3 linked regions of the Rattus norvegicus genome follow. The protein of the gene in region 1 purifies or fractionates together with the protein of each later gene. This does not show direct contact. Links are inferred from orthologs where the notes say so. Each region holds a gene or a part of one and is shown in the gene's direction. Other genes may lie near its edges.

Region 1 (9,667 bases):
CCAGAGCCAGAAGTTTTCAGAGACCAATGTAAGCTCTGAGGACCACACAGAACTCAGATCTCTGCCTGCCTCTGATTGCCAAGGGGAATAAAGTCATGTATTACTACATCTGGCCTTGTGTGTGTGTGTGTGTGTGTGTGTGTGTGTGTGTGTGTGTGTATACATTGGTGGTTTTACCTACATTCATCTCTGTGTAAGGGGGTCAGGATCCCCTGGAACTGGAGTTACAGACAGGTGTGAGCTGCCATGTGGGTGCTGGGAATCAAACCTGGGTCCTCTGATAGACTAGACAGTGTTCTTAACCACTGAGCTCCCTCCCCAAACCTTGACCTTTTTTTTTTTTTTGGTTCTTTTTTTTTTTTTTTTTTCGGAGCTGGGGACCGAACCCAGGGCCTTGCGCTTCCTAGGTAAGCGCTCTACCACTGAGCTAAATCCCCACACCCCCCCCTTTTTTTTTAGTGGAACTTTTTTTGTTTGTTTTTCAGAGTTTCTCTGTACAGCCCTGGCTGTAGACAGCAGTTTGGCTGTCCTGGCTTTCACTCTGTAGAGCAGGCTGGCCTTGAGCTCCAAGAGCCGCCTGCCACTTCCTCCCAAGTGCTGGGATTGAGTGCCACCACCACCCTGAGGACTGGGGTAGGGCTGAGCTGGCTGAGGGCTCACCGAGCATGCCCAAAGCCCTGTTTTCTGTCTCCGGCACGGCATTCAGCAGGCTCTGCAGTCACACGTGGGATTTCAACATTCTGGAGGTTCAGGCAGGAGAATCAGTAGCTGAAGGTCATCCTGATAGCTAAGGGTTCCTGACAGAAGTTCAGGCTCTCGTCGTCGTGAGCTTCTTTCCTCTCAAGGGAGCCAGTCCTCTGAGGCGTGGCTATGGATTCTGTTGGTGACTTGTCTCTTGAGGTTGCCTGATAGAAATTGTCCCCTCTACCGGCTCGTCTGTAATTTTCCTTCAGCCCTCACCACATGGACCGAGTGACATATATACCTGCCGTTTGGCATCTAGAAAATTATGACACAGGGGCTGGAGAGATGACTTAGTGGTTAAGAGCACTGACTGCTCTTCCAGAGGTTCTGAGTTCAAATTCCAGCAACCACATGGTGGCTCACAACCATCTGTAATGAGATCTGATGCCCTCTTCTGGTGTGTCTGAAGACAGCTACAGTGTACTTATATATAATAAATAAATCTTTAAAAAAAAAAAGAAAATTATGACACACGGTGTGGGCATAAACATTTAGATCGTTCCATTGGCTTCCCCAGGAGTAACACGCACGGTATGGGCCAAGGTCTGCTGGGCTCCTAAGGCTGCATAGAAGGATTTATTAAACAAAAGACTGTGGTTTCAGGCTGCCCCAGTTCTAGTCCTGCCCCTTGGAACTTCGCTGTGTGACTTTCAGCAAACAACCCAGCCTCTCTATGCCTAACTTTATCTGTAAAATGGGAATGTTGGGAATATATCATCTCTAGGCTTGTACCAAGGACGCCATGAGCTGATTTTGTTTTGTTTCAGACAAGGTTTTGCTCTCAGTCTTGACCAGCCGGGAACTGGACTCAAACTCACAAAGATCTGCCTACCTCTGCCTCCCTGGTGCTGGAATTAAAGCCATATCTAACTCAGCTCAGCTTTGAGGTTGCTTTTTTTTTTTTTTTTTTTTTTTTTTGTCAAATGTTTCATTACATTTTATTTTGTATGTATGTCTGCTCAGAGGTCAGAGGACAACCTGTGTCAGGGATGGACCTCAAACTGGTTGGCAGACTTGGTGGTTATCACCTTTACCTGAAAAGCTGTTCAGATAGCTTCCACATTGAGACAGTTTCTGGTTCATACTAGGAAGGGTGGTGTGTGTTTGTCTCTCCATCCCACTAAATGAATCTCCCCAGGGAAAGAAAGGCTTTCCCTGTCTTACTCAACCTGCTCCACCCAGAATAGACACTCTAAATGTCTCCCGAGTGAATCTGGCTTACATATCCCTGCCCCTACGGTGTCCCGGGGAAGATACCCTGCCCTGGAGGAGTCCACGATCCCAAACAACTCCGTGAGGACCACTTTGACCTCCACAGATAGTCACAGCAAGGCCTGACATCGACTCCAGGATGTCAAGATGCCCGGTGAGCTGGTCCCCTTGGTGTTATGAATGACCATTTGTGTAACGGTGGGCAAAACCACAGCTTAGGACAGTGAGTTGGTGAGTGGGCAAAGTGGAGCAGAGGGCTGAGGGGAGCTGAGGCGAGTCCTGAAGTTCCACTGCCCGCGGGCCGGCAGGAGAAGAGGGGCACAGATCTGGATAGATCTGGATGGGTGCATCCCACACCACAATGCGGCGCCGTGGGAAGACAGAGCTTGCAGAAAATGAATCTCTAGATGGGGAAACCACCTCGCAAGGCATGCATGGAAAGGAGTCTTCCGATCCTTCCTGCTTTGAGAAACATGATGAACTGGAATGGGGACTGGGGGAGAGAGTACTTTGTAAACTCTGGAGTGCTACTGGGAGAGATAAATGGGTCAGATGGGTGTGCATTTCTTCCAATATGCAGCTAGCCTGAGTGGCAGCAGAGTTGGGGACCCCTGGGTGAAGGGGTGCCCCTGGGGAGTCGAGGAAGCTAGAGGCAAGCAGCCGCTGAATGTGCTGAAACCTGGAGCGCACAGCAGCCTCTAACATCCGCGTTCCTAGCGCGAAATGTGCAAATTCCCATTTTCTCTGCTCCGGCGCGCTCATTCAACCCAGCTCGGGCTAAATGCAGGGGAATCTCTCCGTTATTATTTAACTTTCTGAGTTCAAGGAAGACAATTTGAAAGATAGATAGCATCCCTTACAGAATTCTCCCAACCTCTCTCTAAAAATGTAAAATTGCAGAAATGCACACAAGAAGCACACACATTACCGAAATAATGTGCTACTCACGATGGATTAACATTTTGGGCTTATCTTGGGGTCTTCTTTTTTCCCCCAAATATTGGATCTTAGGTGCTTTATTGCAGAATTACTAAATCTTGCCAGTGCTGGGGCTTGAACCAAAGATCTCACACATACTAGACAAGAGTTCTTACCATGGAGCCGTGTATTTAGCTCTTCCTATTCACCAATGAGCCGGAATATTTGAATCCCCAACGCTCCAACCTCCTCCTCTTTAGGGTACTCCACGGGCAACCCCACCCCAGATTGGTTCCGAGGGGTGACTCCCTAATGGGTTCCCACCCGGCCAGGTCGACCGACTTCTGTCTCAAAGCAGCAGAGTCGGGAGGAGAGGGTGACCCTTGCAGCGCATAGCCGCCGGTCAATGCCCATCTCCAACTCGCGCGCGCCAACTTTGCAACTTCACTCTCCCGCCACGGGGGGGTCTATTTCCCCCGCCCGTTTGGCGGAAGGATCCCGCGCGCTGTTGCAGCGTCGCTCAACCGTCTCTGCCCGGGCTCCGCCCCCCGTGGGCCAAACCCCGCCCCCTCCTGCAGATGGCCCCGCCCCCTCCCGCGCGCCCTATGGGCCTGTAAAGAAGTCCCGGCCCGGCCGCTGCACTCCCGCGCGCGCATCCGTGCGCCGCCCGAGGCTGGCCTGAGGAGTCGGCGGCCATTTTGTTCTTCTCGTGGTTCCAGTGGCGAGAGGAGGAGGAAGCCGGGAGCGGGGCGGCTGGGGGGGGGACCCGCCGCGGCTGCTGCTGCCACCGCCGCCGCCACCACCGCTCGTGGGGCTCGTGGCGTGAAGAAGGAGGACGAGTGAGACCCGGGCGCGAGCCGGCGGCGGCGCCGCTGCGGGAGGGTCGGCGGCGGGACGGCGATGGCGGATATCGATAAACTCAACATCGACAGTATCATCCAACGGCTGCTGGAAGGTGAGCGGCGCGCGGGCGGGCGGGCGGGCGGCGGGTTGGGCCGGTGGGGACCAGGCCCAGTAGAGGCCGGTCTTTCTCGGGAGCCGCTTGGATCTGGGGCGCGCACACAGCGCCTCCCGGTCTGGGGACCCTGCCTTTTTGTCACCCCCCTGCCCTTGCTTTCACATTCTCATTATCCGGAGTCCAAGGACCCATCAGTGTGACTTGGCAGGGCGACGTCCCAGTGCGATGAGAGCCCGTCTCCTTCATTTTCCTCCCCCAACCCCCCCACACCCCAAAGCCATCCTCCTCCCTCCAGTGCTCTTTCCCCTTGAACGTGCATCCGCACACGGACCCAGCCCGGGTGACTGTGGCTCTCTGCTCATCAGATTGTTGTCCTGAGGACAGGGGGACGCTGCTGCGTTCAGCGAGCACCTGCCAGGTAGGTGCTGTTATCCTGGAAGTGTGTTTCGCAAGAGAAACTTCAAAAAGACCTCGCTGGACCAAGGATGCAGTTAACAATCAGGTTTAAAACCCCGGGTTGCCAGGACCGAGGTAGAACCTGCCACCTTTCCACCGTTCACCCTGTGGGAACACAGAATTTCCAGTGGTTGAGTAAAGGTTAAAAATACAGCTTTCCTTTTGTCCAACCTGGGGCGGGGGGGACGGCTCTGCAGTGGATTCCTACTTTCGATATTCAGATTTTACATAGGTCTGAAAACCTGCTCCTCACAAATCCCACAGCGTATCTGCTAAAGCTAAGGAGAAGGGGAATCCAGTAACCTTCTTGCTTTCACTGCTTTTGCCTAAAATATTGGTGGAGTGGTGGACAGCTGCTTAATTCTGGTGGTAGATGTTTTCAAGTCGCTGAAAGAAAAGTCAAAAAGTGTGTTTTTTGTTTTTTTTTTAAATGGTCATTTCCCCCTCTCTAATGCTGTGTTCTGTTTTGTTTAGATAGGGTTTCTTGGCTTTGGTTTTATAGAGACATGGTCTCTCCAGTCCTGGTTATCCTGGAGCTCCATGTGTGGACCAGGCTAGCCTCAAACTCTCACAGATCTTTCTTCCTCCCCCTCCTCATTGATGGCATCTTCTGTATCACCATGCCTCCTAGATACAGGGTCTCAGGAGTCAGAACTGGCGTTAAACACTGATCCTTCTGCCTCCTCCCAAGTACTAGAATTGTATAGACCACTAAGCCTGACTTACTTGTTTTTTCCTGTGGAATGTGTGGGATGCAGGCAGACCACAGCACACATGTGTGTGGATGCAGGCAGACCACAGCACACATGAGGAGGTTGAGAGGACAGTTGGGTGTAGTAGGTTCTCTCCTGTTGTTTGGATTCTGGGAATCAAACGCCGGTCAGGCTTGCAAGGCAGACTTTCCACTGACTAAACCATCTCATCAGCTTCCCTTTCTCCCTCTTTAAAAAAAACATTTTCTATTTGCAAGAATTTGCCTGCATGTATGTATGTGCATCATATGCTGAAGAAAAGGGCATTGGGTCCTTGGGTACTGAAGTTACAGGTAGACCTGAACTATCACGTGTGGGTACTAGAAGTGGAGCCCAGATTGTCTCCAAGAACCGTCATCACTTCAGTCCCCCAACCATCTACCCCCATCTCCCCGTTTTCTGGCTGGTCTCTGTCTCAGCTGTCCACAGTGTTGGAATTAAAAGCTTTCACCACACCTGGCTTCCCATAGTTTCTTAGTTACTTTTTAAATTTTGAGACTGGATATTGCTGTGTCCCAAAGGCTGGCCTGGATTTCAGAGATCCGCCTGCCTCTGCCTCCTGAGTGCTAGCATTCAAAGCTGTACTATCATGTCTGGCCTGATTTATTCTTTTCTGTTGAACTTAACAGAGTAAGCCACCATTTAAATAACATTGAGAGTAACTAGCTGTGTAGTGCATGTGTGTGTTTCTTACTTATGGAAGTGCTTGACAGAGGCCACAGGGATCTGATCAGAGGATGATGGGATTGCATTCTTTGTAATGCCCTCAGAAACGGCTCTGCGGGTTTTGGCTCTTGTCCTTAATTCTGAAGACTCGATTTGATCTTCAGGACCCACATGAGATTCAGGAGAGAACTGGAGGGTTGTCCTCTCCCTTCCCTCCATCCACAACTGCTCTAGCAAGTGTGGCGCTGCACACATGCACACACACATAAGAAGATATAAAAGGAACTACGGGCCTAATTCTGAAAGGGAGAGATAAGATTTGTCACCTGATGAAGCGGTGTTTCTCCATATTGGTAATTGATACCTTTCAGTCAGGGCAGCTTGCTTACCCCCACACTGGAGTGTGAGGCATGAAAAGCCAGAAGTTCTAGGGCAGGGTAGCAAGAGCTCATATGTGGAACCCTTCCGTAAGATCGTCCAAACTAGGGCTGAATGAAGGAGTTGAGAAGGGGGTCTTTTAAAGGTTAAGGCGGCACTGAGCACACACCTTTAATCCTAGAAGGAAGAATTAGGAGGCCAGTCTGGTCTATATACCAGATTCCACACCAGTCAACTATATGTAATAAGACCCTCTCAAAAACAAAACAAACAAAAAACCCACAAACCAAACCAAAGGCTGAGGTCTAGAGGGATGGCTTAGTGGATGAGAGTGTACATTACTCACCCAGGCCATCCAAGCTCAGCTCCTGCACTCAGCAGGTGCCTCAAGGCTTGTTACTCCAGAACTGGGGTCAGACACACACACACACACACACACACTCACACTCACACTCACACTCACACACACGAATACATTTTAAGCTGGGCATCGTGACACATGCCTTTAATCGAAGCACTGAGAAGCAGAGGCAGCTTGATCTCTGAGTTAAAGGCCAGTCTGACTTAGAGATGAGTGCTAGGCCACCCAAGGCTAAGTCATGACCTGGCATAGACCTGTAGTCGCAGGCACTTAGGTAGAGTCAGGAGGTCAAGGCTAGCTTAGCTTCTACATGAGTTCTTAGAGGCAAGTCTCAACTACAGAGACAGACGGGAGACAGGGTTTGGTTCATAAGCACTACAGCTTTGCAGCACTCTAAATGCAGTAGTGTTTCCCTGAGCCAGTCACCCTGCAGGTGTGTGCCACTCCTCAGCGCCGTTAGCTACACGCGAGAGCAGAGGGACTTAGACAGAAAACAGACAAGCTGTGTGTGAACTTAGCACCCTGCTCTGCTATTTTGGTGGGAAAATGGGAATTGGGGTGTTTTCTTCGTGAAACTTGTAGCGTTTCTTGACTAGCACATGATTTTAGTTTGTTCACATGGCAGTGTGCAAGAAGGATGTTTGTGTAAAGGAAAGTCATTGTCAGTGTAGGCTGGGAAGTGGCTCTGCTAATACAGAGTGCTTGCCAGCTCTCATCCCTCTGAAGGCCCACCATTCTCTTAAGTAGCTTGTGCGTGTGGCTTTTCAGTGCTCCTGCTCTAGAGTTTCTAGAAAGCCAAGGGCCTAAATGAAAGATTTAAGTGAGGATGGTCTTAAAGCAATCCCTAAGCTGAGCAGAGGACACACAGCAGGATCATTAATAAGGGGCATCCTGCCCTCCTTGTGCGTGGATAGGCGTCTGTCCCCATACTTCACCTGGCAGGCAGAGCAGGACCCTCCCTCTCCTGGATCTGTAGGTGTGGGAGTCTTAAAAAATTCTAATTTGGGCGGGATATTGGTGGCACAAGCCTTTGGAGGCAGAGGCAGAGTGATTTATAGAGCTAGTTCAAGGACAGCCAGGGCTACATACAGAAACCATACCCCCACCCCAAGTATGACTCCCAGAGCCTTCACTGCCCTTTGCTTATACAAGGCTGGGCTGCAGGACTGACTAGGCAGGTGGGATGCAGCCAACCAGCTCTCAAAGAAGGCAGGTGTAAGGGCCATAGGGAGTGGGTTACGGGTGGTCAGTACACTTTAATGTCTGAGGGAAGTGTGTGTGTGTGTGTGTGTGTGTGTGAGAGAGAGAGAGAGAGAGAGAGAGAGAGAGAGAGAGAGAGAGAGAGAATGAGTGTGTTTCACTGCTTTGATTTATGCTGGGTTTTGTGGCATACCGCACGGCCTAAATATGAGGGGAGAAAGGTCAGATGGGAACTGCCTCATAACTGAGGAAGTACCACAGGATACTTGAAGTAAGGCAAATCCCATTTCCTTGAGCTGTATAATTCTGGAATGAATTTTGGTCTTCAGTCTTGAGGTCACAGTTGTGTCAAGAGTGTGAAGGCAGGGTACTGCCTTCTGATGATGTTTCCCACCTCTGTGTCCGGGTTACTGACATTCTTGCCTTCGAAGGGTGTGTTTTTAGGACCTACAGGAAATAGAAGCACATAGATAGGGTCCAGTGTGCAAGGCACTGGTGCTGAGATGTGTTCAGCTGGGGAACAATTCTCTTTCAAGACAGATTCTCATGCTGCCTTCCAGTTCCTACATAGCTGGGAATGACCTTGAACTCTTGATCCTCCTGTCTCCCACCACTGAGTAATAGATTGTAGGGTGACAGTCCAGGGTCTGACTTAAACAAAACACACTGTGATCAAATTTAATTAGTGTTCATCATAGAAGACTAGATGTGTCCTTGGGATATTTTTTGGTTGGAGCTTTTTAGCCACATCCTGGCTGCCCACATAGAGGAAATCAGTGTTATCCTTAAAGTCCAGAGTGTGCATGGCGGCGCAGTCCCCAGCCAGGTGGAGGAGGGGGTGTGAGACAGACAGTGAGGTAGAGCCATGGTTTTTTGCTGTTGAGAGGAAAGGGGGTTCTTGAAAAGTTTCTTTAGTTTACATATTTTGTAGAAAATACTTGGTTGTTTGCAAGAAAGTATACCGTATGGCAAGTACTAAGTTTGGTTTAAGATCTTTTTCTACGGGACTGGAGAAATGGCTCAGCGGTAAAGAGCAGCAACTGCTCTTCAGAGGTCCTGAGTTCAATTCCCAGCAACCACATGGTGGCTCACAACCATCTGTAATGGGCATGTCTGAAGTCAGCGACAGTGTACTCACACAATAAATAAATAAATAAATAAATAAATAAATCTATCTATCTTTTTTTTTTTTTTTTTAAGATTTTTTTTTCGGGGTTGGGGATTTAGCTCAGTGGTAGAGCGCTTGCCTAGCAAACGCAAGGCCCTGGGTTCGGTCCCCAGCTCCGAAAAAAAAGAAAAAGAAAAAAAAGATCTTTTTCTACATGTTTTTAAGGTACATTTTTAATTTTATTTATTTATTTTTAAGGGATCTCGCTTTGTAGAAAAAGCTGGCCTTGTACTCAGATCTGCCTGCCTGGGATGAACACTGGGTATGTGTGGCTGGTGGTGACTCAGGTTGTCTTCAGACAGCAAGAGCTGCAGACTTGCTCCTGTGCGGGCAACGCTCGGTTCCAAATTGCATTGTAATTCATCTGGTGCTTTGTCCTATCCTTTTTTTTTTTTTTTTTTTTTTTTTTTTTTTTTGTCCTATCCTCCTTTTTTATCTGATTATTTTTTAATTGAGATGGAGTTTCCTGGCCTAGGCTGGCTGGGACAGGTCTATGTAGATGAGAAGGCCCTTGAACTTCTGATCCTCTTGGTAACATGCCCAGTTTTATCCTGGGGCGGAACCCCAGGGCTTGGTGTATGATGGGCCCTAAGGGTTCTACCAACCCTGTGGAGGCTTTTCTGTCCCTCTGTATGCAGACTCCTAGTCTCCCTCCTGTAATGCAGTCTTGCTTGTTGCTAGGCCGTGGAAGGTCACTGCTGTCTGGAGAGGTACTAGGCCTGCAAACAGCAGCAGCCTGGTTAGTCTCAGGGTTTATAAGCTTTGGGTTTGTTGTCAGTGGGGTTTTTGGTGAAACTTCTCTGATATACTTCCTGATGTTAGTGATGTTCCACGTAAGCGCAGTTTCTACAGAA
Region 2 (9,916 bases), on another chromosome or scaffold:
GGCTCCATCATCTGTGACATCAAGTTCTCTGAGCTCACCTACCTCGACGCATTCTGGCGAGACTACATTAATGGCTCATTATTAGAGGCACTGAAAGGCGTTTTCATCACAGACTCTCTCAAGCAAGCTGTGGGCCATGAAGCCATCAAGCTGCTGGTGAACGTGGATGAGGAGGACTATGAGCTGGGCCGACAGAAACTCCTGAGGAACTTGATGCTGCAAGCATTACCCTGACCTTTCCCCGCCTCACCTTTCTGGGGACTGTTTGCTCCGTCACCTCTGGAGCCGACATACTGTTCTGGGGTTTGTTCTCTACCCTTTCCAACCAATCACACCGCCTTTTTTTTTTTTTTTTTTTTTTTTTTAAAGGAAAAGACAAAGGAAGGTGGAAGTGGTGTCCCTGCCCTCCCTGCACCCATGTGCCTGGGCTTCCCCGTTTCCTGTTGCCACTTACCCTAATGTGTGTCTACAGCCACCTTACCACTGAGCCGTAAGACAAGTGAATAGGGACAGAGTCTTTGGAACATAGCCTTTGTAAGGGATTGAACACTGCTTTCAGGTGCATTGAAGGGTAATCAATACTTATGGCTTTATGAGGGCTCATAAATTTTGTCTGAAAAACCAAAGGGCTGTGAGTAAAGGAGCTATGTGGAAGGTGGGACTCTGAAGTGTATTTTGGAAATTAATTACCACCTTCTTCCAAATTATAGAATTTTTTAAAAACAAAGAAGCTGTGGCCCTTTGCACTGTCTCCTGGCCTCGGGTGCTGCTCCTCTCCGCCTTCCTTCATCCCATAGCTTGAGACTGCTGCCTGGTGTGGATCCCTCCTTCCTCTGTCAGATCTTCAGCAGACTTATGGAGGGCTGTGCCAGCCTACTTCCCCTCCCAACCGTGATGTGTAGGTGAACACCACTACATGGGACGGGCGGAGTAGAGGCTGCTAGTTAGAGTACACTTTCTCTGAAAAGGAAGGGGCGGGGGCGTGACATTTCCCTCCCCTTTTCCAGTGAAAATAACAAACTCTTACCCCACCCAGGGCCCTGTCCCTTTGCTTCCTTCTGGCTTGAGAGAAAGTGGGGTATTTAGCATCAACTCCTCCTCCTGTTCCTTTATCCTCCCTTCTCCCACACTTGGGAGAACAGAGCTGGTCCATGCACTGAGCATTGCACTTTGTTAGGTAGGGAGGCACGTTTGAGCCAGGAGACTAAGAAGCCTAGTCGAGCAGGTACAATTCCACCTCCCTTCCCAGCCCCAAAAGAGATGTCCAGACATTATGATTGATTATTATATTTTTTTTCAATGCCAGTGCTGCTCAGCCCTCAGCACAACTTCAGTTTTCATGAAATAAACAGTGACTATATAAAATTTCATTTTTCTGAAACTGAAATCTGAGATCAGGTCAAAGTCTCTTCTTTCCCATGGACTTGATTGAGCCTGTGTTCCATTAGGAGAGTTAAGTCCTGCAAGTGAAGGGAACCGTGCTTGGGTCCAGCCTACAAGTCACGGTAGCATCACCTCACAGTTGGCGTGTGTTTGTCTGTCTCAACCAACAGAAATTAAAAACATTAGGAGAGTGGCAGGAGACTGCCATAAAGGTCAGGTCTGCGATGCTGGAACACAGGCAAGTGTTGGCGCATCTGTTGCAGAAAGTGGAGATCAATTCGAGCAAGGCAAAGGCCTGGTCCCTCGGAACAGCTGGCCACCACTGTGCCCCAGGGGTCAACCACCATGCTGTGGCCGTAACTTGCTCTTGTCTCATGGTGGCGTCCACACTGTGCTGCTGCTATCACGTAGCACTGAGACTCAATGGCGCGGGCCCGCAGCAGCACCTGAGGATGAGACGTGCGTACTCAGGAACATACAGCATTTAATAGGCGAGTGACAAGAAGCGGACACTGTGGGCCCAATCTACTCATTGACTATTGATCAACTAGAATTAGTAACTAACTATAACATGACTCACACCTATCTAAGAAACGAATTTCCTCACCAGATCGGAAGGGAAGAAAATCCTTCAAGTAGAAGGGGAGGGGTGTGTTTGTGTTTTGTATTTTTTTATATAAGGTCTCCTTGTATAACCTTGGTTGGCCTGGACCCACAGAGATCTGCCGGCCTCTGCCTTACAGTGCGGAGATAAAAAGCACACACCACCATGCACCACTATTTTGGGTGGTGTGGGTTACTTTTGTTTTGTTTTGTTTTGTTTTGTTTTGAGACGGTTTCTCTGTGTAGCCCTGGCTGTCCTGGAACCTACTCTGTAGACCAGGCTGGTCTTGAACTCAGATCCACTTGCTTCTGCCTCCTGAGGGCTGGGATTAAAGGTGTGCACCCCCACTGCCCAGCTTCTATTTTGTTTTCTGTTTTACTCGAGGCATCACTATGCTGGCTTTGAACCTGTGGCTATCCCCTGAAGTGCTTAGAGTTTAGGTTTGTGCTACTCTGTCCCCACTACTAAAAATAAGATTAAAGGAGGCCTATATGTTATGAAGAGGCATTCTCCTACCTCCCAGTGGGCTGGGCCGGTAACAGATCCAAAGGCTGAAGGATAAGTAAGTATTTCTGCCCCAGCTTGAGCCAATTTCAGAGAAAGTTCAGGGAACCGCATGTCATAACAGATTGCTAGACCAACCTGAAACGAGAAACAACCCACTCATCTTCCCTGTCCTGGTCAACGTAACATTGAATACTACCTCCATCATCCTACACCAAAGGGAGATGTTACAACTTTTTCAACATATTCCTATTTTCTTTTCAAACTCCTACCTTGCCTGCTGGTGTCTTGACAGGTGGTTCAAGAGCGTATCCAGGCATGGTATAGTTGCTTTCTCTCATAGGCCCCTGACCTGGGATCTCTACATCACATAGATGTGTCTTCCTGTAACTGGCCACTACTGATCCTAAAGTAAGAGAAAATGCTCAGTACAGACACTGGAAGTCCAGCTTAGCTCTTCTCCCAAAGAGTAATTTTTAGGCTAAGAACAGAAGCATTCAAAACAAAACAAAAAAACCCCTAAAGCCAAGCAGTTGAGAAAAATGCTGAAGATCTGAGTTGGAAGAAGGTAGATGAGCCTAGGAAGAGGCAAGCTGAAGGACTGTGAAGTCTCACCCTTGCTGTTCAGAAGCACATGACAATTGTAGATTTTCTGAGTCTGCTCCCAGTCTTGGCCACGCTCGTGGAAACCACCCAAGGACAGCCAGATTCCACATTCCCTGAGGGGGAGGGACACTGACAACTCTACCCCCTCTATGTGGCAATCCAGGAACACTGCCCAACAGGGATTCTACCCCTCCCCACCCCCACCCTACCCTTGTACCTGGCAAGCTGGCTATATTGTCCCAAAAGGTCCCCATCCAGTGGTTCGGACAGGAGTAATGTCTCGGCAGGATTTCGTGCAATAAAGTCAAATGCCTCAGGCAGAAAGGCCAGGCAAGCGCCCAGTCTGGTAGCCTCTTGAACCAGCTCAGCACACGTTTTAAAGTTCTCTTGCTTGTTTGGTGTTGATGTTACCTGGCACACAGCCACCAGGGGCAGCTCCCAGGAAGTCGATGAGGACTCTGCCATGGCTCTGGGCCTGTGAATGACACAGGCAGTTTTCTCAGGATTTCTACCGCGTGCCGCGGAGAAACTTGGGAGGCTCAAGTGGGGGTGGAGCCGGAAACTTACTTTTTTTTTTTCTGATTTTACCTCCCCTTTGAGACCGGGTCTTTTTGTAGCCCAGGCAGACCTTTCTATGTAGCGGGGATGATCTTAAACTCCTAGTTGATCCTCCTGCCTGTTTCCCGAGTGCTGGGATTAGAGGTGTGTCCCACCAACCCTAGCGACTTGTTTTCATTCTTCCAGAGCATTAAATAACCCTAAGCTACTGGAGTACACGCATTAAATGTTTGGTGGATGGCAGGTCCACTATTCGGTTAATAAACATGGACTTAGCAACTACGTGCTAGACAAAGAACATAAAATATGTTACCTGGGCTGAGTACAAAGTACTGAGATTTGAGGTAATCGGTATCCGGTACACAGAAGGGACAGGAGTTGATGAGGAGGCCTGGTGATGAAGCCCAGCCTGAAGAAGGTGAAAAATCAGGACACCTAACCCTCCTTCAAGCTGTAAGTTTCTAGAATTCTCTGCCATTTCCAGACCTGGCCAGTAATCCCCTCCCCCAAGGCTTCGAAAACACTTTACTACTAGTAGTTATGAGATCATAAAATGGGAAAATGGAAGAGGACACTATGATCGGTGCCTTAATACCTCAACTTCCAGTGATCTCACATTAAAACTGAAGCCCTTTTCCTCTGCCAAACGTTTCCGCAGTTCAAGTCATCTCATGGAACCTTCCTCGTTTCCCCAATTCTCTCTTCTCGGCTGTGCCACCTGGACAGCTTTATAGACTCAACATGTATCTTTCCCCTTGTACCAGAATCTCAGAAGGAAAGTTCACCCTCCTTAGATCTCCACCATTCTCGTGGTGGGTAGGTAGATGGGTACAAGATCAGATCCCAACCCGAGCCCCCGCCCTCTGATTAGCGCGTCCTTCCCCGGCTCTCCCCGGGGCAAGAATCTCTGTTGCACAAGTTAAAGCATAGCAGGTGGAATTCACCGCAGCAGGCAGGGTTGGGGAGTAGGTCCTACATGAAGACACAGCCAAAACCATTCGCAGGGTCGGATCTGAAGAGCTGCCAGAAGCCAGAAGCGCAGGAGCAAGTGGGCGGTAACCACTAGAGCGGATGTGACGCAGTGGGAGTGCGCAGGCCGGAAAGCTTGCAGGTGGGGAAGATGGCGGACAGCAGCGGTCGTGTGGGCAAGAGCGGCGGGAGTGGCACGGGGAAGGGGGCGGTGTCGGCGGAACAGGTGAGGAACCGCGAGCGTAGAAGGCACCTGGGTCGGTGTCGAGTTCGTGCAAGGAAAAGGACTTGTGATTCAGAGGGGCCTTTAGTCCTTCCCACGTTCTCCGTGGTCACGCACAGGGGAGAGGGCGTTTTTGGGGGTGATCACAATCCTTTCTAGGGCGTGAGTAGGTGGGGTAGGTAGGTGAGAGGCACGCCCGGGGTGTGGGTGGGTAGTCGAGAGAGAAAGCTCTTAGATGCAGGATCTGGGAGGGTTGTCCAGGTCCCTAAGGACATGGATCGTCGTCTCCCCCTCTACGAGGTACCCTAAAGAGAATATGGTGTTTGAAGTGTCATCTAGTAACGAATCCCAGGCTGTTCTTAGTCAGTGAGTGGGTTATTTAGTCTTTGACTCCAAAACCGTGTTCACCATCACAAACACGCTGCAGAGCCACGTGACTCAGACTCTGACCAGTTTAGTGTTCAGTAACTATTTGGACTAAGGAGACTGTGGCTTAGTTATTTTCTTGTTTTGTTTTGTTTTTGTTTTGTCTTGGGGTGGGGATGAGGGTTGCTATAGGGTCGGGCTGGGTCGCTCTATGTAGCCTTGCTTTTCTGGAATTCACTATGTAGACCAAGCTGGCCTGGAACTCACAGAGATTCGCTTGTTTCTGCCTCCCAAATACTGGGATTATCTGGGACTACTATTCCTGGCTCGGGTTGTTTTCGTTTTTTGAGACATGGTCCAGCTCACTCTCTATGCTCCCTTCTGCAGAGACTTAAGTTTTCAGAAGAGGCTAGAAACCATTTTCTAATGCAGGTGTGATTCTGCTCTTCATAACATCGGGATACATCTGACGAATTAATCAGAAAGCCCTTTGTGGTATAGGGACCATGTTTTGTTAGTCTTGGGACTAGTGTTTAATTGATATTAGAAGAACACACAATTGGGGTTGGGGATTTAGTTTAGCTCAGTGGTAGAGCGCTTGCCTAGGAAGCGCAAGGCCCTGGGTTCGGTCCCCAGCTCCGAAAAAAAGAACCAAAAAAAAAAAAAAAAAAGAAGAAGAAGAACACACAATCGAAATGAAAATAGTTGAAGCTAGGGGTGTAGTTTGGTGGGTTAAATGGGAAAGCCTTGAGGTGTGGGGTCTGGGTGGGTGTCTGTTCTCACCTGGTATGGAGGTCCAGGGTTGGGATTGAAGAGCTATTTTAATCATATATTTGTCAGTTGCTTGTTGAGCAATCACTGCAGGTAAAAGTATCAGCATAGGGACTGGAGTGGTGGCTCAGCCGTTAAGAGCACTGACTGCTCTTCCATGGGTCCTGGGTTCAAATCCCAGAAACCACATGGTGACTCCCAACCATCTGTAATGAGATCTGATGCCTTCTGGTGTGTCTGAGGATAGCTACAGTGTACTTATATATAATAAATAAATACATCTTTAAAAAAAAGTATCAGCAGAAATAGTTTAAAACCCATACTGTTGGAGAGCATCGTCTGTTGAAGTGGGGTTTACAGTTCTACTATGAGTCGGAAAGTAAGTATTCAAAGAGAAGTGACATTCTGGGGATGGAAGAGGCACCTTGACAGTGGGAAAGAAAAAAAGTAAAGCTTTTGAGAGTCTGTCTTGTGTTATACTTTGCTTAACACAGAGAAACAGGTAAGTGAAATAGACTTTATCTTAAATTTGGACACAGCCAAGTGTGATGGCTCATACCCATAATCCCAATGGGTTACCCTCTCAGTTCCAGGCTAGCCTAGGTTACAGAGTGAAACACAATCTCAAAAACAAACAAGACAGACAGAATGGCAAATAAAAATGAAACAACGAGACTTCAAAAATATGTTATGTATATTTGCATGTCTGAGTGTGTGCATGTACCACACCTGTGCAGGAGCCATTGGAGGCCAGAAGAGGGGTCCAAGCCCCTGATAACTGCTTATTAGCTACCATGTGGGTCTTGAGAACCAAACCCAGGCCTTCTGCTATAGAAGTAACAGTTCTTCCACCGAGCCATTGCTCCAGTCCTTACACCAAAAACTTCTGCACATGATTTCTCTTCTTACTTTTTACCCTCCTCTATCTGTGAAAACATGTACTTCCCATTTCATAACTATTTAGTGTACTAGGCAAGAAAATTCATTCGACACCCTCCCCCCCCATCACCATGACTAAAAAACAGAGACTACAGAGTGTGTTGACTAAATGCTAGTTAGGGGTGGAGAGATGGCTTCTGCACTTGAGCACCTCATCTCACACAAACACATACATACATGCACATGATCTGAACAATCTTTCTAAATGCTAATTTGTTTTTATTTTCTAGAGGATTCTTCAGCTTAATTCTAAAGGCTGAGGAAAGTTAGTCAATGTGAGGATTTTTTTTTTTCGTTAGAAGAAATGTGTTCATAAGCCTTGAGCCATGAACTGCCCGGCCTTGGAAATGCTGGAAGATTTAAAAGAGCTGTATTGCAAGACTTGAAGAAGACACAGTCAGCCTTGTTGTTCTTTGACACAAGTTTTTTTCATGTGGCCTAGAACTCACCAGCCAGGCTAGGATGGCTGGCCAGAGAGTCCATTGACCCTCTCTTCCCCAGCACTTGGATAACAAGCCTCAGAATTTAAGTTCCCTAGCATTCCATTGCCAGGCAGTTCATGCCTCAATACCATACCTCCCCCACCCCCCAAGTTCTCAAACTCTGGTTCTTTGGTTCTTTACCTGTGGAACTTTTCTTCCCAATTTAAGTGTTTGTCACTGATACAAATTCAAGCCTGATGTGACTTTCACAAGGAAGATAGGAGCAGGTCATACTTTCTACTAGGCCCTTGTTTTATTTTCGGTTTATCCTATTTCTATTTATTGTTTATTGGTTTGCTGCTGTTTTATCTGAGAGAGGATCTCCCTCTGTAGCCCTGGCTAGCCTGGAACTTGCTATGTAGACCATGCTAGTCTAGGGCTTGTGGCATTCTTCCTGCTTTGATCTCCCAGGTGTACCACAGCACTTGGAGGAGTGAGTGCGCGCGCGTGTGCGCGTGCATGTGCGCGTGTGCGCGTGCATGTGTGCGTGTGCATGTGTGCGCATGTGCCAGCCAGCCACCCACATGCGTGCCTGGTGACCTTGGACTGTGGGGGTCAGAGCATTGGATCCTCTGGAGTTAGAGACAGTGATAGTTATGGGTTTCCATGTAGGTGCAGAGCCACAAGTGCTGCTGAGCCATCTCTTTAGCTCCCCCAAATCGAGACACATAAACATTATGTACACACATATAATAATGAACTAAACAACTGAAAAGCCCTGCTGCAAAGTAGATTGTGATGTACACGCCTGTAAGAGATCCCCTGTATTTGGGGGAGAGGTAGAGAGGCAGGATTAGGAGTTCAAGTTCGGGGTTGGGGATTTAGCTCAGTGGTAGAGCGCTTGCCTAGCAACCGCAAGGCCCTGGGTTCAGTCCCCAGCTCCGGGAAAAAAAAAAAAAAAAAAAAAAAAAAAGAAAAAAGGAGTTCAAGTTCATCCTCAACTAAATAGCATATTTGAGGCCAGTGTGAATCTCAAAAAGACAAGAAAATTCCTGTCACTTGTCAAAGTTCAACAGGTGTTTCGAAGAGGACAGAGCCTACTCAAACACTGCTTTATACCCCTTACCCTCCAAACTCATGACCTTATAATGTAAAATACAATCATTCTGTCCCAGTAGTCCCCAGAGTCTTACATTGTTCCAGTACTAACTCAAAATTCCAGGGTCAGTTGTGAGCCTGTGCAATGAGAGTAGCATATGCACGTTCATCATGTAATGCAGAGGCAGGCAGAGGGTAGACATTCCCGTTCTAAAGGAGAGAAGTAAAGCCAGGAGGAGGCTTTACTGTTAAAGCCTTAAGTCTGAATTCCGAGAGGGCAGGCATGGTCTTACCGTTCTATGATAAATTATCCCTATATATGGCATTTGGAAACTCTGGGGCAGGAATTGGGCCTCTAAAATACTAGACAGCTCCACAGGGCACAGTCCATGCTTCATGCACTTGGGCTGGGGGCATACCAGTGCCTGCAGCTTGCCCGGTTAGGCACTGTCCACTGACAGTTGCTGTACTATTAGAGATCATGGTGGCTGCCTGGCCTAGGGCTTGTTCCAGTGAGGATTCCCCGACAGCTCCCATTCCTACATCAGGGTTTTCCTTGCACCCCTGTTTAACCTCCCACAGTCCAGTGCATCTTGTGAAGTTTTGGTAGAGGAAGCCATTTCTCCACAGCTCTTGCATTCTGCATGCCTCCAGAATTAGCACCACGAGGCATAGATACTACCACAGGTTACTGCTAGTAATGCTTTCTCCAGCTGCAGTACAAGCTGTACTTGAATAAATAATGGAGCATGCTGGGATGTGAGGAGCAGAGGCTAGGTATACTGGGCTGTGAGTTCTTTCTGCCCTTAAGACCCTAGCTTTTGGTTCCATGATTGGAAAGACAGCCAGGGTCTCCAAAATGCCTTCGGAACGTTTTTTGTCATTGTATGGTAAATAGTAACACTCAGCTTTCTCTGTCAGTGCTAATTTGTGCACTTGCTTGGTAAACCTCTTTGGGGGGGGGCAGGTTGGGAAGGGAGGGAAACAGGTTTGCATTTATTTATTTTGTGTTTGTGGAAATGCCACAATGCTCATGTGGTGGCCAAAGGACAATTTGCAGCAGCTGTTCTCTTCTTCCACCTTGTCCATCCTGGGATCAAACTCAGGTAGCCAAGATTGGCTGCAAAGTCCCCTTACCAGTTGAGCCATCTTACTGGCCACTGTCTTGACCTATTTCCACTTTGTACATAGACAGCCTGTGAATTGTATTAGATTTCAGGCTCTATTTCCTTCCTTCCTTCCTTCCTTCCTTCCTTCCTTCCTTCCTTCCTTTCTTTCTTTCTTTTTTTTTTAAAGATTTATTTTTATTTATTTTATAGATGTGAATACACTGTCTCTGTCTTCAGACACACCAGAAGAGGGCATCAGATCCTGTTACGGATGGTTGTGAGCCACCATGTGGTTGCTGGGATTTGAACTCAGGACCTCTGGAAGAGCAGTCAGCGCTCTTAACCGCTGAGCCATCTCTCCAGC
Region 3 (9,819 bases), on another chromosome or scaffold:
TATGTTTTGGGCCTGAGCTAGTCAATTTCAGTTGACTTGACACAAAGCAGGGTCACCTGGGAAGGGGGAGCCTCTCCTGAGGAGTTGTCTTCATCAGATTGGCCCATGGTGGCATTTTCTGGCCCGTGGGCACTGGCTATGGGGGCATTTTCTTGATTAATGGTTGAGGGCCTAGCCCACTGTGGGCAGTGCTACCCCCTAGACAGGCGATTCTGGACTATATAAGAAAGAAACCTGAACAACCCAAGGAAAGTAGGCCAGTAATCAACATTTCCCCATGGTCTCTGCCACAGTTCCCACGTTCAGGTCCCTGCTTTGAGCTCATGTCCAACTTCCCTCAGTGGTAGATTATGGCTTCAGAGTGATAAAATAAGCTCTTTCTCTCCCTAGTTGGGTTTAGTTAGTGTTTATCATAACCAGCAGAGAAGGACAGTCTGTGGATTGTACCTACATGATTATGTAGCGTGATCTGGAAAGTTAAGCCATTTAACCTCAGAGCCTTCCATCTAAAACTTGAGGCTACTCATGCGATGTTAGGATTGAACAGGGAGGAATTTTGAAGACAGCAAGCAATAGGTGCCCAGTCAGTTGTGACTATTACTGTCTGTACAAGAGGGAAGGTTAGAGGAAGAAAGGTGGGCCTGGTGATTTATGACTTCAAGATGTCAGGGTGGACACCAGCACCGCCCAGTGGGAATATAGGATCTGGGACAAGTGCCCATCTAGAGTAATCAGATGTAGAAAGGGCATTTGGGAAGATACAAATGGTGGCACTGGACAGGTTGGAAGGTCTGGGCAAGGTTAGGGTACTCTGTGCATTTATTGCAAGAGATTTTACGTAACACTGTAGAGGAATCTTAATCCAGCAACATACAGCTTTGACAAGGGATCATAGCCAAGATATGACCTGCCAGAATACAGCCATGCCTTGGATTACAATAGTACATGCCTTTAATCCTTAACAATGAAGGTAAGGTTAGTTTGTAGAAGGAAGCAGCCATGTTTAAAAGTGATGTATGATTGAGGGGCAGAGAAAGTGACAAATCAGAGACAGGTTTGACAGAATGAGTCAGAGACAGGATATGCCCAACTCTTATGAGAATAGCACAGGAAAGAGAGGCCAAGAGGAGAGAGAGAGAGAGAGAGAGAGAGAGGAGACAAAGAGACAGAGACAGACAGACACACAAAGGGAGAGAAAGAGAGAGGGGGAAGGGAAAAAGAGAAAGAATGCTGTGTGGTGGTGGTGGTAGTGTGTGTGTGTATATATGTGTGTGTGTGTTGTGTGTGTGTGTGTGTGTGTGTGGTAATTTTACATAAACAGGTTATAGAGAGAACAGGCTAGACACAGGTGAAGATAGAATGAGCCAGAGAATGAGAAGGAGATTAGGATATATTGCCAAAAGTTGTATGAGGCAGGCAGAGCAATTCAGTCAGAAGCCCAGAGAAGCATGACTGAATCAGTCAGCTTGGAAGATTAAATTGTAACAAGGCTAAGATCTTCAAGACTTCAGCTTAGCAATAGTTTAAACAGAGAAGGAAACATTCTGGTCTCAGCCCAAGGTACTGGGCTTAGGTACTTACTGATCACATCTTATCCCTCCTGAGGAAACAAAAGTGAAATTTACAGGGCATATATTGGTTTCCCAAATTAAGTTATAGACTAAAATACCTTCTTAATGAGAATGTGTTTTTATTAAGTAAATATTAGATTCCCAATATTTTGAATATTGATTATAGGGAAGCAAAGGGAATCTGCTAGAGGGGTTGAGGAGAGAGATGGCTTCAGTGTTGTTCTCTGCCTCTGCTGGACCACATTCCTACCCTTAGCAGTCACATATTGTTTCCTTCACAAAGTCAGACTGTAATAATAAACTCCTAGGCTTGACTGCAGGGTTATGTGGGAGAGCACTGGGTGAAGTACGTTGATGACCAGAACAGAAACTGAGCTCATTCCGGTGGACACCAGCACCGCCCAATGGGAATATAGGGTCTGGAAAAGGTCAGTCAAAAGAAATGAGTTCAGAGGTGCTTTATTGGAGCAAGAGACCATGTGGGTTACAGCTATCAGCAAGAATCCAATAAAGAGATCAGCTGCTAAAACTGGATGATTACAGTGGTGTTCCAATTGCCAGGAAAATGGGTTTAAAGATTTTCATTTTGTGAATTATTATTAAACCCTGTAAAAAAAGTTGCAAACAGATTTAAAAAGGGAATAACAGACATATTATTTCTTTTAAAATATTATTTTTTAATATGTGAATATCTGCATAAGCATAATATAACCAACTTTAGGGCTGGTAAAATTGTGTCAAGTCCATATGGCAGAATTCAATCTACCAATATTTCATGGTGCTCCACAATGAACACCATAATTTCTAGGTGCTGCCACCTGAACTAGTTTGAAAAGCGACATATTATACCCCTGACTGCCTTATTATTTCTCAAAGGAAGGAATGTTATTAGCTTCAGCAAAACTCACAGGGAAAGACTTAGATACAAAATAATCTGTAAAATAAATGAAAAGACTAAAAGAGGAGGATGGAGGGTAAACTCAAGTGTAAAAACAATGTAACAGTTGGTATTGTTCCATGGACACTCTATTGGGCACTATATTCTATGCTAAATATTTCTCAAAGTTTTGTTTAAATTTCATAACCATTCTGTGAGGTATCATGACCCATTCCAGACAGATGAAGAAAAGACGTTTCAAAGACTTGCTTAAACTTATATACCAAGGTAAGTGGAAGGTGACACTGACCAAACCTGTTTTCTGACTCCGAAGATAAGCATCGTAATGTTTCAATGTGAAACTGTTGAAATGTAACGTTTCTTTGTGGGCTAAAGCCGAAACAAAGACACAGTTTCCTTTTAAGGAGTGTATGCAGGTTGTGACCATTAACCAGTGTTGACCATTCTAATAATCCAGAAGATTCCCCTCTGATGACCCCTTCACCGACCTCAAATATAAGTTATTAGTACCCTACTCATATCACCATGGGTAGGTAGGTTTTAGTTAGACTGAATTAACTTTTGGAACTAGTACCAATAGTCCATATGTCAGCCTTTCACTTTGCCGTGCTAACCATAAACATTCTTCTGAGTTCTACCTCAGAGTTCTCAATTTTTCACTGGAATGGCTCGCTTTCCGATATGACTTCATATTCATTTTTTTTTTGGTATTGCACTGAAATTGAGACAATTTTTTTTTTAAATCGAAGAAATTATACAACAAAGTGCTATGGGATTGGGGTAGACTCAGATGAACTGTTATCAAACTAACCAACCAACCAATCAACCAACATCTTCACCTTCTAAACTGCACTGAAACAACGCCCTTTATTGATGCAATTTGTGAATCTATTTCCAATCATGGCATTTCATTAGGAAGCAGATGACGAAAAAGTCATCTCAGTTAATGGAACGGAAATTCACCCAAGCAAAATATGCAACGGTGATTGCTTTGTATCATCTTGCAGCACGTGGGGAAATTTTTTTTTACTCCAAGAATCCTGCCAAGTTGAAGGGGTGTTTTCGGGGTGTGAAGGGAAGGAAGCAAGCTAAAGAAAATCTAGGCGGAGAGTTTGGGGAGAAACATGACTGAATATCCTCCAATGGGGTCTTAATGTGATGACTTTCTATTCTTTGCTGGGTGCCTTGAAATCACATTAGTTCTTATTCAAGCTGGTAATGACAGAGGCAGCATGGCAACTTTACCGAGTCTAGCAAGCTAAGGTTAGAGAATTGTCAGCAATTGTTCTAGGTGACAGTTTTCTTTCTTCCTCTCTATTATCCTTACGCCTACCCTACCCTCCCCCCGCCCCCCCCCCCGCCCGAAGCCATTGTTGTTTTTCCTCCCATCCCTGTTCCAAAGGCAACGGTGGCATCCTGAAAGCAGTCTACACGCTGCCACTGAGAAGCAGGAGAGGAATAACTGACACTTGTTGGCGTCGATGACTTTGAGTGACACGTGTGCCTGTGGTGACCAAAGTGGGGGACAGTCTAGAGGAACGTTCGGGCTATCAAAGGAGGAGGAAAGGCCCCCAGAAGTGGGCGCACGTGACAGCAGCAGCCACCTCGAGAGTGACATCATCCCGAGGGCGGGGCCAAACTCTTCAGGGCCTTGTCAGCTCTTGAGCTTCCTCTCCTCTTCCTCACCAAATGCCTTCGACCCCACCAGCCCAAGCCCCCTGAGGAAACCAGAAATGCCTACACGTCCTGCAACGCCAGGGCCCCCTCTGTCAGCGCAGCGCGGGGGTTCACCACCATCCTCTCTCGCAACGCCTCCCCACCCCCAGGCCGTGGAGGGGCAGGGGGCGGGGGCGCGCGCGCTCCACCACGCACGCGCCCCCACGCACGCGCTCTCCCTCCGCGCTCGCGCTCCTCCCCAACCCGGCCCGGAGGGGGCGGGGCTGCGGGCGGCCTCCGAGGGTGCGACGCCCCCGGCGCGGCGGCGGCGCTAGAGAGCGGCCGGCCGGGCGCGGGTTGCTGGGCGCGCGCTGCTCCGGCGGGGCCCGCTGGCCACAGCCGCCTCGCGCCAGCCGCCCGCCCAGCGCGGCCAGCTGCGAGCGCCGCTAGCGCGGGGCCCCAGGCGGCAGGCGCCGCGCTCCCTCCGCCGCCCCGCGCGCCTCCTCGGGCGGCCCCGCCCCCGTTCCCATCCCCCTCGCGCTCACCTCCCGGCTGTGCCGCGCGCGAGGCGGAGCGAGGCGCCCGCCGCCGCCGCGGTGCTGAGGGGCGAGCCTGTCCCCGCGCCTCCGCTGACAGGAGGACCGCTGCGGGCTGCCAGCGCTCGCCGGCCGCGAGGCCCCGCCGAGCCCGACTGAGGCGCGGATCCTCCGTGGGGCGTCCGCGGGCCGTGCGGTCCTCACCGGAGACCACTGGCACGCGGGCTTGACCCCGAGGTGCGCCGCGCCCCTCAGAGCGGCAGGTAAGGGCTGGAGGAGCAGGGAAGAAGGGTCGGTAAGGGTGAGGTGACAGGGGCGTTCTCTTGCGACGCCTCAGCTGCGGGGTTGGGGCTGGGGCGAGCGGGGAGACAGGGAAACGGGCAGTGAAGTGCCTCCGGTGTCGAAGGCGTGGGGAAGGCAGGCTGCCTCTGAATGTGGGATCGAGGGCGGCTTCGGAGGACTCCTGGGGTCTGCCACTTGGCTGTCACCGAGGTTAGTCTTGGTATTGGGTACCTGGAGAGTCTTGGATGACGGGGACCGGGATGAGATGCGAGGCAGATTGCTAAACGTGGCAGGGAATGTGGTGCAGAACGAGTTGCAAAATGTGTCCCTGAATGCAGCATAAAAGTAGTTGTGAAATGTGCCAGGTAAAGGCACAGGCTAGGCTGGCCTCCGTGGCATAGAAATGCATGGAAGAAGTGTTATTAGGGATATGAATAATTCCTTTGGGGAAGGAGGTGTACTATAATAAAAGACTAATAGGGCTCTTTGCTACATATTCTGTCGTAGGAGATCGAGAGGAGCTGCGATTTTTGACATAGGGAAAGTACCCACGTGAAAGCAAAAAAAAAAAAAAAAAAAAAGCAGATTGTCTGGTTGTGAGATGGGAAAGAAAAAAATTGGGCAAAAATCATTTCAGGTTTTGTCATCAGCAGGTAGAGCACCCATGCAATTGTAGCCTGTCTCTCGGTTCCAGGTGTGGAATGTTTAAAATGTTTCCCAGAAAACATAAACAATGATCATTAGCATTAGGAAAAGATTGGATGTCTTTCCTTCTCTCTCTGCTTCTCTCCAGGAAAACAAAAAACCCCACAAACAAAAAAAGACAACCAAGCCAAGCATCCTGACCACAATTGTGTGCTCAGGATCCTTAGGCAAAGGGAATGATTTTTCATCTGTGTCCGTGCCTTGGCTTTTACACAGGTGAAAATAAGTGGAACAAGGAAAACAAAACAATATGGTGAACAAAAGGGATAAATTTTCAGGCATTTGGAAGGGTTGGAGCCAAAAGCTATGGCAGTGGCTAATTACAGAGACTGGCAATAGTGGAATATTCTGGTATGTTTTAGCTGTTGAGATGGGATGATGAGATAAGATAAAAACGGTATACAGTAAATTGGCATAAAACGCAGCAACATGGACACTGTCAATGTAGTGTTCCTTGTAGCGTTTACCAGGTAAATCATATTAGGGATTCGAGGGAAAACCAAAAACAAATGAAACAACTGTTCCTTATCTTTCTTCCTCCTTCCCTCAACCCCATCTTTCTAAGTGTGTGTGTGTGTGTGTGTGTGTGTGTGTGTGTGTGTGTGTGTCCACATGCTGCAAAACGCTGTGACTTCATTTAAGAACATCTGTGTTTGGAGAAAATTGTCAGAACATACTGTAATTTCAAAAGTAACAAAAGACAGCTAGATGAGCTATGTAAAAATAACATGTGTATACATTGAGTATCTGTGTAACTGAAACAAAAGCAGAACTATCTGATGCGTTCACCAGGATGTATTTAATTATTAATGACACTTTAGTGTGTTATGTTGGAATTCCTATAAATCGAATTACCTGTGTGAATGTTGTTTTTATTATAGTGATTTCCCAGATATCTGAAAATTCATACTGATTGGCTTTGCCCTGACTCTAGATTCATTCATCGAGGGATCATTTCCTTCAAAATCGAAATTGGATTTTCCTTGATTAATTCTGAATTTTAGTCTTTTCTGTAGATATATTTCCCTTACCTTGAGGCTCTGTTGAGGCTAAAGAGAGAAGAAGGCCAGAAGAGAATAAAGAGCAGTTAGTTCTGTTGGGTCTTCCTGTTTTGTTCTGACTGTAAGCCATATATGTACTGCCACCCCCTACTGTCTGTAGGAAGAGGTGTTGCAGAACCCTGTTCTTTTCTTGTTCTCACTGCCCCCTTGTGTAAGGGAAGAAATTGATAGCTGCACTTTTGGGAAACAGTCTTCAGACCGTTCTTTATCACTGGAGTGGCTATGCAGATTGATTAATCACTTGTTTACTTTAAAGTGCATGGCTAGGAACATATGTTAGCCAGGTCTGAGATTTAACGTCCCTTTAGATAGTATGTGATATTAGTCGATTCTGATTGCTAAAAATGTTTACAGTATGTTCTAGAACCTGGGATTCTATTACTTCTAGTAATAGGTTACATTTATATAGCACACACTTTGTGCCAGTCCTGTACATTGTTTATACAGTTACAAAATCCTTTTGAGGTATATATTGTTATTTCCATTTTACCCAGGAGAAATGGAAACAGATCAATTTGCCAAAGATTATGTAGCTGGGAATTGGAAATGCTGTTTCAATTTAGAAACTCTGCCTCCAGACTCTGGCTGCAGACTGTCCTTCATCACTCTCTTGGATTGTCCCCTCACGTTAGGATTGACAAGATGTACTGGGCTTAAAATGCACAGATCCATCACAAAGCAAATACTTCAGCTGTGGATAAACTGTCTACACCTATGTAAAGAATGATTATAGTGAAAAATTTCTTTTTAGGTATTTGTTTTTAAATTCTTTTTCTGTGATTATAAGCAATAAGTTTTCTTATTCAGAACTTTTCATGTGGTTAAAGGCATATCTATAGCCATGTTTTCTTTGAGGCGGATCTTTAGAGATAAAAAGTTACATGCAGGTAGTTTGATACACACATATACCTCATGGTATTTCTAAAAAAAGGACGGGTAAACTTTTATTGCTAAGTTTATTTGGAAAATCAAGAAGAAATTATTTTTCCTACATACTTACATTTTAGGATCTTTGTTTTAATGGGATTAGCAAAAGTGGGTTGGATCTTTTGAATAATCAACTCTTCCAAACAAATGTTTGCTCAGATTTTTCTTAGCACTTAAACCATGGTTTTATAGGTATTACTTATGCACAAAGACGAATAAAGCACAAAGAACAATAGTGCACTCCACACTCCTCACATAGCCTCACTCGTTTAGAAAGTAGGCTGTCATCTCTCACGACTGTGATAATTGTTTTCTTTGCAAATCATTTCTGCCATTCTGTTCACAGAAATGTTTTCTGGTTACCTTATGTCTCACATAGCTCATGTAACCAAACACTCTTTTACTTTGATATACATTTGTTGATATTATGGGTATTTAACGTATTAATTATGGACAAACCATTTCAGGATATAAAACTATATAACTTCTTATCCTCAAGAAATTGATTGAAATATAGACTTAGACTTGTACTGATAGACTTGAAGTTTGTACTGATAATATTTTACTTGTAATTTGGTTTGCATTTTTACTGTAAAAATTTATTAAACCTTCAGTGGTTTATGATAGTATCATTGACTTTTTTTTTTTTTGAAACAGCCCCAGTTGACACTGACTTATCCATTCTGTTGTGCGTCCATAGTGATAGATATTATTAAAGGCATGTGCCGCTTTGTCTGGCTGTTATTAATATTTTTCCTCCAGTGGTGCTAGAGATTAAACCCAGGGCCTTGTGTTTACTAGGCGTATATTCTTTATATTAAGCTACACTCCCAGCACTTCACCACTGAATTTTACTCCTGCCATGCTAGCTTTCCTTTCTTGCTATAGTTGACTTTATCCCGTTAGTATTTCCTAAATAATTATGATTTTTTGAATGAAGAAGGAAGTGGACTCTAAATAGGAATATACTAATAACAGGAGTTCCAAAGGGAAATACTGAAGTGGTTGATACTGAATGTATACTGTAATAATTATGCATTACAATGTATAAGATTCTTTGTCATATTATTTTTTCTTCTTGAAATACAGTTAAAATCTGAGGGAAACTACTTGGGTACTCTAGCTGAATTATACTGGTTCAGATTCAGAATCACCCAAAGTTAAGGAGAATATTTTTACTGATGGTACCCAGATTCCTTTCTAGTACTTAGAGCAAGCTGGTACAGGTGGCTGTTTATTTTTCTAACACAAATCTGAGCAAGGTAGCAAATACTGGAAGCTAGCTTAAGTATTAGACATTTCTTTTTTTCTCTGTGAATTAATTGATAACTTTTTAAATATTTGCTTAATATGCCTACAGTCATGAAATACTATTATTTGATAGGAAGATAATACTGTAAAAATAAATTTTTATGCTTTATTATATTATGAAGACTGTCTCTTGGCTTATTTGAATTGCACGTTTTCTAGTAACATACTAAATGAAAGTTATTTAAGATCAAAACAACAACAACAACAACAACAACAACAACAACAACAACAACAAAAACCAAACCAAACCAAACCAGAACAAGGAGCTAAGGTAATGGAGAATAAAATCCACTCAGGGATAAGCTGTGTCTGTGGGCTCTTGAAGCTGTGGAGAGAAACATTGAAAGTTTAAGGCTTAGAAGATGTGTTTTCTATTCAGAGTTCATTTTTCTCTTAGAGAATGTCTTACTGTGAGTCTTATGATCAAAGAAATTGTAGATGGAGAGCCAAGAACTCAGTGTCTGAGTTTCAGACACGTACACAGGTTGTGGATGTGGAAAGAGGAGGGACAATATTACTCCAGAAAGTTCTAAGTAATTGTAGTACCATAATTATTTCCAGAAGCACATTTCTCTTGTTAGGTCATTTGCTTTTGAGTTGTAGTGCAGAAACATGGGCCATTTTATGTGCTGGGCAAGTGTTTTTGAGTTACATCTCTATCTCCACCCCAAAGAGAACATTTGAAAGCTGTGTTTGTGGATATGAAAGGATCAAAGGAGTTTTGTGGGCCACACCAACGTATCTTGCTGTCTTCAGCTTCTGTCTGTCCTTCTTTAGTCGATGATAAATATGATCAAGTTTAAGAGACAAAGGAATTAGGCTGATGCTAGTCTTTATCACACTTTATTTTTTTTCTCCCCATAGAATCAGTT

Evidence for each region.
Region 2: the proteins of Ppp1cc (region 1) and Pfdn2 purify together in Homo sapiens (affinity purification with mass spectrometry; 4 studies listed by BioGRID and IntAct, with this or other methods). This does not show direct contact. The link is inferred for Rattus norvegicus from reciprocal best matches to the Homo sapiens genes PPP1CC and PFDN2.
Region 3: the proteins of Ppp1cc (region 1) and Tanc2 purify together in Homo sapiens (affinity purification with mass spectrometry; 3 studies listed by BioGRID and IntAct, counting the BioPlex papers as one, with this or other methods). This does not show direct contact. The link is inferred for Rattus norvegicus from reciprocal best matches to the Homo sapiens genes PPP1CC and TANC2.

The regions. Positions count from the first base shown.
Region 1 is NC_086030.1:40,055,156-40,064,822, reverse strand, and holds the start of Ppp1cc (serine/threonine-protein phosphatase PP1-gamma catalytic subunit), read left to right. Parts: upstream 1-3,521; 5' UTR 3,522-3,774; coding exon 3,775-3,829; intron 3,830-9,667. UniProt on the Homo sapiens protein: Protein phosphatase that associates with over 200 regulatory proteins to form highly specific holoenzymes which dephosphorylate hundreds of biological targets.
Region 2 is NC_086031.1:86,301,063-86,310,978, forward strand, and holds the start of Pfdn2 (prefoldin subunit 2), read left to right. Parts: upstream 1-4,765; 5' UTR 4,766-4,775; coding exon 4,776-4,850; intron 4,851-9,916. Other genes in the region: Dedd (death effector domain-containing protein), read left to right, coding at 1-234; Nit1 (deaminated glutathione amidase), read right to left, coding at 1,566-1,829, 2,504-2,629, 2,764-2,897, 3,107-3,210, 3,315-3,572, 3,969-4,064, 4,632-4,633. UniProt on the Homo sapiens protein: Binds specifically to cytosolic chaperonin (c-CPN) and transfers target proteins to it. Binds to nascent polypeptide chain and promotes folding in an environment in which there are many competing pathways for nonnative proteins.
Region 3 is NC_086028.1:91,048,399-91,058,217, forward strand, and holds the start of Tanc2 (protein TANC2), read left to right. Parts: upstream 1-4,668; 5' UTR 4,669-4,924; intron 4,925-9,819. UniProt on the Homo sapiens protein: Scaffolding protein in the dendritic spines which acts as immobile postsynaptic posts able to recruit KIF1A-driven dense core vesicles to dendritic spines.